Regions from separate parts of the Mus musculus genome. Here all the other regions are reported to be linked to region 3. Evidence: microRNA targets listed by miRTarBase, many of them from high-throughput screens and not tested one by one. Region 3 holds a microRNA gene; each other region holds the end of a gene's coding sequence.
The links. Region 3 holds the annotated microRNA mmu-miR-320-3p (AAAAGCUGGGUUGAGAGGGCGA, at 1,565-1,586, opposite strand). A microRNA usually pairs through its seed, bases 2 to 8, with sites in the 3' UTR of a target mRNA and lowers its output. Matches are read on the target gene's strand: a 7mer-m8 pairs with bases 2 to 8, a 7mer-A1 pairs with bases 2 to 7 and ends in A, and an 8mer does both.

Region 1 (4,157 bases), not on the chromosome of region 3:
TGAGCGGAAGTGTGAGCCCATTGCCATGACAGTGCCTAGAAAGGTATGCTCTTATGCTCCTCCCAGGGTGCTGGGGCAGGAAATGACCACGGGGGTTTGTAGGGTGGGACAGAAACATAAACACTCTTGTGACCAGCCTTGGCCTTGCCCACAGTCGGACCTGTTCCAGGAGGACCTGTATCCGCCCACTGCAGGACCCGACCCTGCCCTCACAGCTGAGGAATGGCTGGGTGGTCGGGATGCTGGCCCCCTCCTCATTTCCCTCAAGGATGGCTACGTGCCCCCAAAGAGCAGGGAGCTGAGGGTCAACAGGGGCCTGGACAGCGCTCGCAGAAGAGCTACACCAGAGCCCAGCGGCACGCCCAGCTCGGTAAGGCGGGCGGGGGGCTGGGGCAAAGCCTGCATGGATGTGCTCAATGTCTCATGGGGAGAGAGTCCAGTGTTAGAGATGCCCAAGCCAAGGGCAAGGAGTGGGTGACCTGGAGGCCTTAGAAACCAGGTTGCAAGCTTATAGGCATGCAGTAATCCGGGTAGCATCTGCTGGGAAAGAAGGGCCCAAGCCTTGCAGCTCTTGGAAAGGCTAGCAGATGTCAGAGGAAGCAACAGAGAAGCTGGGCCTGATACAGGGCTGGGTCTCCTAGGATACCGTGTCAAGGCTGGAGGAGGACGTGAGGAATCTGAACGCCATAGTGCAAAAGCTACAAGAGCGCCTGGACAGGCTGGAGGAGACTGTTCAGGCCAAGTAGAACCCCAGAGCCCTCATCTGGGGCCAGCCATCCCCTCTGCTCCCACCCCACCCTCAGGCCATATGGTGAATAAGACGAAAATAATAAAACGGCTTTATTTTCTGGTACCTCTCAGACTCCGGTGAACTGGTGAGCCCCGAGGCTTCCCCTTGAGAGTTCTCTGAATGCGCTGCCCCCATTCGGGCTGTGGGTCACTTCCAAATTCACACTATAGCAGAGGAAAGGGCCTTGCCCGGTATGATACCTGCAGGGATGGATGGAGCTGGACACTGTTCTCTGTTCCCTAGCTCCACCTCAGAGCAGGTCTGAGTCATCCAAATCCCTATCTTAGGGCCCCCAAAATGTCCACAGTCACCCCCAAACTTTTCGTGTTTTCTTTGATAGTGCTGGACCAAAGCCGTTAATATGCTATGTAGGCTGTCATTCTAGCTATGTCTCTAGCCTTGACCCCAAATTAGCATTTCCTGGTCAACTCCAGCACAGCCTGCAAACAACCACACTGATAACTCCTTGAGCTACTGACTCAAAGAACAAAAATAACAAGACTGCAGAGCAGACGCCACTCACGTCTGTAATCTGAACACTTGGGAGACCGAGGGTTGCTGCGGGGTTCAAGCCAGAAACTCAGTTGACAGTGGCTATAAAGTGAGATACTGCCTCAAACCAAACCAAACCAGATGGGGCTTGGGTGTGGCCTGGCTGGCAGCACCAGGCCCTAGGTTTGATTCCTTACCCTGCATAAACCAAGTGTGGTGCCCACACCTATAATCTCAGCACTGGGGAGGCGATGGCAGGAGGGTCAGAAGTTCAAAGCCAGCCTAGAATAGAGACCCTGTTTCAAAAACAACTGTAATAAAGCCAAAAACAGGAGGTTGGAGGGTTGACTTAGTGGTTTAGTGTTTCCCTTGCAGTCATAGGGATTAGAACTCAGATCCCAGCATCCACATTACAAGCTGGGAAACCTTGCAAATACCTGCAACCCAGCTCTGATGTGGATAAAACAGGATTTCGGGGCTGGTTGGCTTCCAGCCTAAAGAAGAAGCAAACATGGGTTCAGAGAGAGAGAGAGAGAGAGAGAGAGAGAGAGAGAGAGAGAGAGAGAGAGACTACTTCAAAGGAATAAGTTGAAAATGACAGAAGGCTGAGCAATGGTGGCACACGCCTTTAATCTCAGCACTTGGGAGGCAGAGGCAGGCGGATTTCTGAGTTCGAGACTAGCCTGGCCTACAGAGTGAGTTCCAGGACAGCCAGGGCTACACAGAGAAACCCTGTCTCGAGAAACCCAAAAAAGAAAAAGGAAAAAAAAAAAAAATGACAGAAGACAGATACCTGACGGCCTCTTCTGGCCTCCACTCACATAAACAGGCATGTATATACCTGCAAGCAAATACACTCACACATACACACAGGTAAAAACAAAACTTGGGCTGGAGATGCAGCTCAGCAGTTCAGAGAACTTGCTGTCGTTCCAGAGGACCAGAGTTCTAATCCCAACACCCACAAAGCCTTTAGTCTCAGCACTCTGGAAGCAGAGGCAGGCAGATCTCTGAGTTCTAGGGCAGCCAGGGCTACAAAGAGAGTCCTGTCTCAAAAAACAAACAAACAACAAAAACTAAGGGAAAAAAAACTTGACAAAACAGACAACATCCCATAAAGACAAACGAATAAGGAAACAGTCGGACCCTGAGCTAACATGGAACAGGGTAGTGGTTGGCAGTTCCGAAACCATGGTCTAAGACCCCCCAACCCCACTTCATTCTCAGCATCCTCCTGCCTCAGAGAATTGCCTGTAGGTTTCAGAGGACCTGGCCTCTGAGGAAGACAGGAAGGAACAGATCTCTTAAACCCTATCTATAGGAGTAAGGTGTTTGTTTTTGTGCACTGTGACCGTTTCACACGGATCCCCGTGGTCCTGAACACCTGATACTTCTGCCTCTACCTTTTATTCTACATGTGCGTCACAATGCCTGGTTTATATGGTAATGAGGACTGAACCTGGGGCTTCAGGGATGCTAGGCTAGCACTGTCGACTACCTATATGAGTGCATGCTTTTAAAGATATTCTCAATATGACAGCAGTTGCTGTGCCTGATTGGTGGGAGACTCTAGAGCTGGGGTCACACAGAGCGGTTCCAGAGGGTAGAGCTGGGATGGCACAGAACTGTTCTAGAGGGTCGGAGACTCTAGGGCAGAGGTGACAGAGCGGTTCTATAGTGTACCATGGCTGAATTGATACAATGCAGAGAACACCCAGGACCCCACCCCGGCCCTCCTCTCTTCAGCACACCATGGAGTTTTCTGGGTATAGACAATGGAAAATTCTGCCTGCCAGCTTGTGTCTCACCCCGACAGGGCATGTGATCCTGGGCAAGCCCCTTCTGCCTATAAACTGGAGGAGGGCCATCACTGGGGAGTGAAGGGGTGCTCTTTTGGGGTCCTTGTGAGGAGACTGAATCACTAGTTCTCCAGAGGAACTGAAAATGTTCAGGAAATGATGCCAGGGACAGGGAAGACATGAACACTGACTACTATGATCCCAGCTTGACCAACCTCTGTGATGAAATCAAGAGAAGATGGAGACAGGAAACTGGGTGGCTGAGACAAGCCTTGACAATATGGGAAGGACTGGGCATTGTGCTGGACGTCTGTAGCCATAGCTGCATGGAAGACTAAGGCCAAAGGATCCCCTAAGCTCATGAATTTACAAGCAGCCTGGGAAACATATGGGGACCTGTCTGAAAGACAAAACCAAAGCAAAGATCCACAGTGGAGAGGAACTAGCTGTGGGAGAGCTGAACTGAACATCAGCGTGCATTGTGTCCATCCCTCCTCCTGAGTGTGTACGCCTGTGAAGAGACTGACAGAAATTCTGTATCTTGTCTCTGCTACTTCCAGGAACCTGGAGTGAGGGAACCTGGGAGAATGCTCAGGGTTTCTGAGGGCTGACAGAGCAGGAACACCCTGCTTTTTGAGGTCTGACCTTGGTGACAGTACAGACCACAGGGTTTGACAGTAAAGCCTTGGCAGACTTAAGAACCGAATCTTCATTGTTTAAGTTGGGACCTAGAGGGCTCAGGAAAGAAATCCATCCAAATTTGCTGAAACAATGGCTGGAGGAGAGTCAGGGAAAAGCCACATCCGTGACTTGGCCTCAGGGTCTTCAAACAGCACACTGAGACCAGCTGGGCCAGGTTTAAATTTTAATGACTGTTCAGGCCTAGGCCCCTCATTCACGCCGCTGTCGGGTCCACTGCTCTGGGGTCAGAGTTTTCTGCTCAAAGGCATGGATGTGCGGGAGCTCTTCGGCTAAGCACTCGTTCACCAGCCTGGAGCGAGAGAAGGGAATGGGAAATGAGCGGCCTCAGCTGGAGTGATGGGCTCCGAAGCTAGGGTGACCAAGGAGATCGGAGA
Region 2 (4,157 bases), not on the chromosome of region 3:
TTGAAAGGAGTTAGGACAAGAAGGCACCTGAAGGCAAGAGCTGCTTCATGGCTTGCTCAGCCTGCTATCTTATAGCCTAGGACCACTAGGCACTAATTAAGAAAATGCCCTATTGGCTTCCTTATAGCCCAATCTTCCTTATAGCCCAATTTTCTCAGTTGAGGACTTCTCCTTTCAGTTGGCATGAAACTTAGCAGCTCACAAGTTGTCATCCCAGTTTCATGAAGACAAGACCATTTTGGAAAAACATAGTGCTTCTTCAGCCAATGGTAGTGACCAGTACTGTAAACTCTGCTGGCTCTCTGAGCCTCAGAGCCCATAAGGTAGAGCACAGGCTAGCTGGCACATAAGTAGGAGCAAGCAGGCCCACTTTTTTTGCTGTGCTGTGAGACAGCAAGGCTGTAAAGCAGGGTTTCTGAGCGTTGTCACATTCGTGTCACAAGCTGTGTGCTTGGGGAGCATCTAGTGTAGTGCAGAACAGGATGCTGATGATTAGCAGTGTCACTTTCCTCTCTCCAGTCAACAAAGATGTCTGTGGGCAGTAAAGCGTTGCTGTGGACTTAGCTGTCTTGGAGGCAAGCCCTTTCTGGTAGGACTATTGACTTTGAAAACTTTGCTCACAAGATGTACAGAAAAGTGAAACCTGGGAGACAGATGTCACAGGGTATGACCAGAGGAACCTGACAGACCCATCGTGCATCCCCATGGATTAAAGTTAACCGCCATTGCCGGGCATGGTGGCGCATGCCTTTAATCCCAGCACTTGGGAGGCAGAGGCAGGCGGATTTCTGAGTTCGAGGCCAGCCTGGTCTACAAACTGAGTTCCAGGATAGCCAGGGCTATACAGAGAAACCCTGTCTGAAAAAACAAAACAAAACAAAAACAAAAAAAAAGTTAACAGCCATCATTGATCCATGCTACTTGATGACCTCATTTTCATGCTAAGTGGCAGGTGTTCTGACAAAGCCACTGCATCGCTTTGCAGGAAGGGCTCTACCATTTGCCCTTCTAAAAAGTTGAAGGTGAGGATAAAAATATAAGCAATGGATTTTCTTCATTGTAATTTTTATATGTTCCTAATAGGGAGTATGGTGATCCATTTGATGCTTCCAGAAACCAGAGAAACCTATGAATTAGAGAAACTATGGACTCTACGTTCTTTTGATGACCAGTTAGCTCAGATAGCAGCTGAGACGTTACCTGAAGACTTCATTCTTGGACTGGAAGATGACACTTCATCCCTGACTCCAGTGGAGTTCAAATGTAAATAAACAAAGTTAATGCCATTCTTCCCTTTGATATGACTGAGCCATCTGCTTGGTCACTACAAGTTCCTGTCTACCTCGTGAACACTCTTGCTGGTAGCTCACAGACCAAGAACCAGTAATTCAGTCCCTGTTTTTCAGCATCCTATCTTTATTCTTGAAATTCTAGCATGATGCCTCAGGTAGCACTGACCCCGTGACTGACTCAAGTTCTCTATTTAGACTATCAGCCTGCCTCCCTTCCCCAGTTTTTTTCCAAATATGTCTGAGGGCAATAGTAAGTGGCTGGGTGCTAGGGTATAAGGATAGCATTTCTATAAATACGTGGCACAAGTACAATATTTATATTTAGAACATTATGGAAAGTCATGTAAATCTGTAGATCTTAGTTTGTGTTAAATAGGACAACCAAGGTTCACATTCTTGAATCAGGGCCTGAAAAAATAACGTGCTGGTAGGTTACTGTTTACTGTAAGATTATCATAGAAAATAACTCAAGAACACTCACTCATCTGAAAACATACTACAGAAGCTGTGGTTTATGATGAAAACTTTATTCTGCATCAGGGTACCTGGAAAGTGAAGCTGCATTTGGGGCACACTACAGATGAGAAATGATCTGTATATGGTGAACACAAAACACAATTATAGAGTTACTCAGTACCAGGTACTCCAGACTACCAGTGCTTAAATGAAAGTAAAACATGATTGGCCACTCTAAAGGCTAGACATGAAATATGGCAGAATTGAAACCAACAGATAGAAATGTAGCACCTGTCAGTTTTTTAAAAAACAAACACTGGAAAAATCAAATACTGAGGAAGAGCTCTGGCCTTAAGCATATCTCCCCTGAGACCCAAGCAGGAGAGCCGGTCACATTTTCTTTTTTAAGCAGTTTAAATCCACCATATGAAAATGCTAGATGAATTCAGTTGTAAAAAGGGGGCACTTTTTGGCTAAAACTACAAAATTAACCGGTTTTATGAAAATGTTTAGGAATTCATTTTCACAATGTCTAAATGATATGCTGATACTCAGAAAAACTTAAAGGCATGTAGAAGTTAATCCTGAAACACAATGAGGCAAAGTGGTTTTCTGAAGGGTTACATAATACCCTCAGGGTCAGTGTAATATGACTGTAACCACATTATGAACAAAGCAACAAGAACAACTCAGAAAGCAGCATGGCCTTGAGGATCACCCGCACCTACAAGTATCCATACAGGGCTTTGCCACTAAGTTGAGGAAGGGCAAAGGGAAGTCCGATGTTTCCACAGTCTGAATTCCCAAAACCGTTTGCTGGATCCCCTACCTTGACTCGCTGGCAGGTAATGCAGGGCAGACAGAAACTCTGCTACATTTCATGGAAGACTTTTGGTGGACTTAATTCTTCCACTGTTTAAAACATCTTTAAAATAGCTTAGGCTCGAGACAGTGCCAGGCACAAGGAAATGGAGATTTTGTTGCCCTTCGGCCCTGTCATACCACCTGACTCCCCCTGGTCTTCACAAAGCAATCCTTTCCATGTCTGCTCAGAGTATGGTCTGATCTCAAGTGTGTTAGCAAGCTGAGCATCTGGTAAAACAAACTCAAGCTGATTTTGTTTAAATTCTGCATTTCTTCACTGACATGAATTTCTTCCTTTTCGTGGTGACAGTCAAAGCACAAAGCATTTGCAAATTCCCACACATAGCTAAACACAAATCCCCAAGTCTCCTGGAGCCCTGTACACTAGCTGTCCTTTACCCTAGCTGTCCTGTACACTGGCCGTCCCAGCCCCTGCCTGCTTGGTCAGTACCGTCAACAACCTTCCCAGATAGGAACAAAGGAGTACATGGCATGGCTGCTCTTGAGAATAGGCACTGCTCCTTATCTTTGAACAGTTAGTGGACTTTCCAACTTTCAAAGGCTCAAAAAATGCAAAATTATTTTTCCAACTTTACTCTCACCAGCCAGACGTAAAATTACTTTTTCAATGACTTGCCTATCAGCTGATAACTGTTAAATTTTATTTTTTTTAAAAAAACGGTTGGAGTTTTTATAAAGTATATAAAATTTTCAAAAAAGGAATAATTTTGCTTTTAACTGTATTACTGAATACCTGAGGTAGTTGAGTAAAAATGCACGTTTAATACCCTGCCAACAGCGGCTGGCACTTCCCTTAGGTTATCCATGTTAGTGTTAGAGAAACAGGAGACAACAGCTCTTCTATTCTAATGGCTTAATGTTGTGTTCCTCTGACAATTCTACTTTGATCCAATTTCAACAATTGGACTTAGGAACAATCTAGTTTTAAATTTATTTGATAAATTTAGTGAATGTACCATTTATGCCAATTTCTGGCATTATAGAGGGATATTAAGAAAAATTAGCACGTTTGTTATACTTTGATATCACAAGGGAAGTGCAGAGTTCTCTTTCCTTACCCCCACTTTTTTTTTTTTTTTTTTTTTTTTTTTAAAGCTGGGTGTCATATATTTCAGAGAGCATAAAGTATACATTCTCACAGAGACAGGATCGAGTGCCTGGTCCTCGGAAACAACCAGCTAGGTAAAAACTCGTGCACGTGGTTCTGGATGGGTCAGCACCCGTCTGTTGGTTAAGCAAATCTGTCTTTGGTTTGGCATCTGCCTCTGTGGTGGCTGTCTCCTGAGCCTTTACTTCCGCCTTGACTGAGGTGGTCCACTCTGCAGAGCTTTCTGCTGCTGGTGCTGCTTTACCTGAGTCAGAATTTCCTGAATTTTCCTCTGGGCAACCTACAAAAGGACAGAACTTCATAGAATCTGCACAGTACAAAGTTACTAAGTTACTGCAACAACATCAAGTTGAAGTCCTTGTGCCCAATACTTAACAGTGTGCTGGCTCAAAGGAAAACTAGATGTGCCAAGCACA
Region 3 (4,157 bases):
TGAAAGGGCGGCTTCAGGGATTCCTGTCATGCTGAAATGTCTTGTACCATGACTGCAAAAATGTCAATATTCTGGTTTTGATATAAGTGCTAGATCTTACTATTGTGGAAAACAAAGTAAACAGAATTTGGGCTCTGCTGAATCATTATCATCATCATCACCATCAGTGTCTCACTTTGTAGTCCAAGCTGGTGTAAACTCAGAGACCTGCCTGCTTTTTCCTCCCAAGTACTGGGTTTACAGGCATGCACCAACATGCCTGGCTTGTCACATAATTTCCCCCCCCCCCTTTTTTTTTTTTAAATAACTGCATATGTATGACATCAAAATGAAGTTTACTTATTTACTATTTTCATTTTATTTATTTATTTTGGTTTTTCGAGACAGGGTTTCTCTGTGTAGCCCTGGCTGTCCTGGAACTCATTCTGTAGACCAGGCTGGCCTCAAACTCAGAAATCCACCTGCCTCTGCCTCCCAAGTGCTGGGATTAAAGGCGTGTGCCACCACTGCCCAGCAAAGTATACTTTTAATATGTACATTTTCTGAAACTCTTTCCTAGGGATATAATCTACAAGAAAGCAAAAAAGTTGGATGTATCAAATGTACACTAGCTATTTCTAACAACATACCTATTTAAAGTAAGTGCCCCATTAAGGAAACAAGTTACGATATATACATATAAATATGCACATATATATCCTCCCATTGGTCATTTGTCTCCGACAAAGAATACACTATTGTGTGGCACAATATTACAGTACATCAAAAATATTTTAATGCTAGCAGCCTATGGAATTCCAGCAGAAATAGGTTCCTTCCCTAGAATTACATAACCTTTTTATTTGTATTGGGGTCGCTGTAGTGTAACATTAAATGACTCCCCCCCCCCCAGATTAGATTGCAACCACACATTACAATAAAAAAATTTTTCAGCTGGGATTGGTGGTGTACATCTGTAATCCCTACAACTGAGGGATGAGTGAAGAGACTGGACTGCTGCAAATTCGAGGCCAGCCTGGTCTACTTAAGTTCCAGACTAGATAGGGTTACAGAGCAGGGTTGTCTTAAAAATACCCACACCTCCCAACCAAAAATCAAAAAACAAAAACCCTTCCAGTTGAAGAGCAAACTTCAGTTCCAAAGGCTTCCCAGATTTGACTAAGCAGTCATGGGCCCAGGTAGATGAGAAGAGCTATTGGCTGCTCTGTCCAAACTGCGTTAAGGGTGACACCCCAAGACCCCAGGGACCGGCAAGGGAAGGCGCACGCGAGCAAAGGGTCGAGCCCGAAGGTGCAATGACCACGCCAAGGTCAACGCAGGGAGGCTGCAGCCAGCCACGGCCTGAGGGCTCTAAGCTCCCTATGTCCGGAGCCCCATCCCGAGCGGCGACCCCACTGCTCCCAGAGGCTGCGCAGTGTGGACTCCACATACAGCAGGTAGGCGACCTTGGAGCCCCTCCACCTCCGACCCCGAGGACCGCACCTCTACTCCCTGCCAGGGGCCGAGACACGCCCCCACGAGTCACACCCCGGCACAGCTTACAGTCCACCTCCCACATCCTTTTTCGCCCTCTCAACCCAGCTTTTCCCGACTCCGGGAAGAACCGGGAAGAGAAGGCGGAGGGCGGCGAGGCACCGTCGGATAAATACTATGGTCAGGTCACGCCCCCTTGATGTCACTTCCGCCCCAGGGTAAGATGGCAGCGCCCGGTCCTTGCCACGCAGACTTCCGCCTTGCCCGGAGACCCGCGGCCCGTGGTTGCTCTAGTCGGAGGTGAGGTTGTGATACTCGGCGCAGAGCCTCCACGCAGGTGCGTCACGAAGTCCCCAGGGAAAGGGCAGGTGACGGAGTCCAAAGCTAGGGGTGGGGCGCTCCGGGAAGCCTCGCCACGTGGGACGGGGAGGAGCTGAGCTGCAGCGAGAGCGACGCACGGGCGGGGGGCGGGAGGCCACGTGGGTGCGGTTCCGCCCAGGGTCCTCGCGTCCAGCCCTTGGAGTCACTTTGTTGCCTACTTTCTTCTAGGAACCATGTCGGAAGGAAACGCGGCGGGCGAGCCCAGCAATCCTGGAGGGCCGCGACCCCTTCTCTCTGGGGGCCGGGGGCTGATCGGCCGGCGGCCCGCACCCCCGCTTACGCCCGGTCGCCTTCCCTCCATCCGCTCCCGGGACCTCACCCTTGGCGGAGTCAAGAAGGTACCTGCGAGCGCGTTTGTATAGAAACCCACCCAGGCCGTAGGGAGGCGACTCGTGATGTTCATTCATGTGCTGCCTTGGGCCCCTGGTGGGATGTCAGCCTTTAGAGAGACCTGCAAACCTAGGTGCTGGTACAGGACACTGACAGGGTCTCCTAGGCAATTAAAAGACAGTGAATCTAGTTGATTCAAGACATCCGGAAGTGCTTATTATGTTCTGGGCTCCTTACAAAATCCCTTGAAAGCCAGACAAAATTGCTTTACTTGCAATTTCGAGTGTTCATAACTCTGTGGATGTCAGTATTGAAAACTAATAATCTAGTAAGTGATGAATCTTAGGCATGCCGGTAACTGCTCTTTGTCCCCTCCTGTTATGTGTGTAACAGTAGATGTAACTGTACCGAGTAGCTCTGAAAAGGAATAGCAAACACAGGATAAAGCATTTTAGCTTTGCCTTGGGGGCTACTGGTGATAGTCTACCTGTCTCTCTAAGCCATCCCAGGACTGTTGGTCAGTTGAGCACATCGAAAATACAGTACTGTGTTTTACTTTTCAGAAAACCTTCACCCCAAATATCATCAGTCGGAAGATCAAAGAAGAGTAAGTAATGAATGAACAGTACTCACCCCGGTTAGCTCTGAATTTGGGGACGTAATTAGGTTGTGTGGCCTAGAGATTTTAACTTACGCTATTAGCTTATTCACCAGTGGTTCTCATCCTTCAATCCTGGGTTATATAGGGGCATGTTTCTTTTTGAGACAGTGCCTCGCTACATGGCCTTGCATGTCCTGGAACTCACTTATGTAGGTTGCTGGCCTAGAACTCCCAGAGATGTGCTTGCCTCTCAGACCTGTGTCCTGAGTGCTGGGATTAAGATGTACACCTCCACGCTTAGCTCCAGGGCACTTTGCATTAGAGGGTCTTTTTGGTTTTTGTTTTGTTTTGTTTTTTTTCTGTAATAAATAGCTGAGATAATTGGCTTACAGAGAGGGACATTTTGTTTTGGAGATTTTAGTCCACGATCAATCAGGTGGTTCTTGCTTTTGGGTTCATGGTATGGCAATGAATGCAGTCGGAATACCCAAGGGAAGAAAGAAATTAAGGAGAGGAAAGGGCTGAGTTTCTATTCTCCTTTAGGAGCTGGGTAACCACCCAGTAGGCTCCATCTCTTATAGTTTCAGCTACCTTCTGTTTCTGCCGAGGTGGGGCTGAACTCTCCAACTTTGCCTTAAGGTCCTCTGCTCTCCAGCCTTTCTACTTTTAGAGGGTTAAAAAACCAACAAACAAAACAAAAGGCCCACATTTTGACAAGACGGTAAAGTAGAAGGAAATTAAAGGCCGTGCTTTATGGGAGATGTCAAAGGTATAGCGAAGGGTTGGGTGCCGATTCTCGTAGTGTACTTACTGGCTCACAAGCTCTGCTCAGCGGGCTGAAAGGGGCAAGCGAGGAGGCTCCATTTCCTGAGGCAGACCCTTTTGTCTGTCCTCATTCCCAGGCCAAAAGAAGAAGTGACTATGAAGAAGGAAAAGCGTGAACGGGACAGGGACCGCCAGCGTGAGGGTCACGGACGGGGACGTGGCCGCCCGGAAGTGATCCAGTCCCATTCTATCTTCGAGCAGGGTCCGGCAGAAATGATGAAAAAAAAAGGTACCAGGAAGGGACCTGGTCTGGGTTGCAGTTCAGACTGCCTGAGAAGGCAGAGCGTGGGAGTCTCCATTCCAAGTTGGGCTCTCCTCGCTGTGGGCAGTCTTCCTTATTGAACCCTAGTGGACAGCATGATTTCCCGCAGGGAACTGGGATAAGACCGTGGACATGTCCGACATGGGACCTTCTCATATCATCAACATCAAAAAAGAGAAGAGAGAAACAGACGAAGAGACCAAGCAGATCCTGCGCATGCTGGAGAAGGATGACGTAGGTGCCAGGAGCCTGGGGGACAGGTTCTTTTGTAGCTGCTAAAGAGGG

Region 1: miRTarBase lists Coro1a as a target of mmu-miR-320-3p. The part of its 3' UTR that is shown has no 7-base or 8-base seed match.
Region 2: the mRNA of Igf2bp3 is a reported target of mmu-miR-320-3p. Seed matches in the 3' UTR shown: 8mer at 3,724-3,731.

What each region holds. Positions count from the first base shown.
Region 1 is chr7:126,696,470-126,700,626 of GRCm38, reverse strand. It overlaps Coro1a (coronin, actin binding protein 1A), which reads left to right. Exons shown (of 11, transcript NM_009898.3): 9 at 1-43; 10 at 155-370; 11 at 642-853. The coding sequence ends at 746. It overlaps Bola2 (bolA-like 2 (E. coli)), which reads right to left. Exons shown (of 3, transcript NM_175103.3): 3 at 3,934-4,072. The coding sequence ends at 3,973. Among named protein-coding and RNA genes, the nearest start is that of Bola2, 2.5 kb to the right of the region's middle.
Region 2 is chr6:49,083,420-49,087,576 of GRCm38, forward strand. It overlaps Igf2bp3 (insulin-like growth factor 2 mRNA binding protein 3), which reads right to left. Exons shown (of 15, transcript NM_023670.3): 15 at 1,799-4,021. The coding sequence ends at 3,923. It overlaps Malsu1 (mitochondrial assembly of ribosomal large subunit 1), which reads left to right. Exons shown (of 4, transcript NM_029353.1): 4 at 1,084-1,298. The coding sequence ends at 1,271. Among named protein-coding and RNA genes, the nearest start is that of Malsu1, 12 kb to the left of the region's middle.
Region 3 is chr14:70,440,986-70,445,142 of GRCm38, reverse strand. Mir320 (microRNA 320) reads right to left here and starts at 1,633; the gene lies at 1,552-1,633. It overlaps Polr3d (polymerase (RNA) III (DNA directed) polypeptide D), which reads left to right and starts at 1,672. Exons shown (of 9, transcript NM_025945.3): 1 at 1,672-1,810; 2 at 2,023-2,192; 3 at 2,748-2,791; 4 at 3,688-3,839; 5 at 3,982-4,106. The coding sequence starts at 2,028.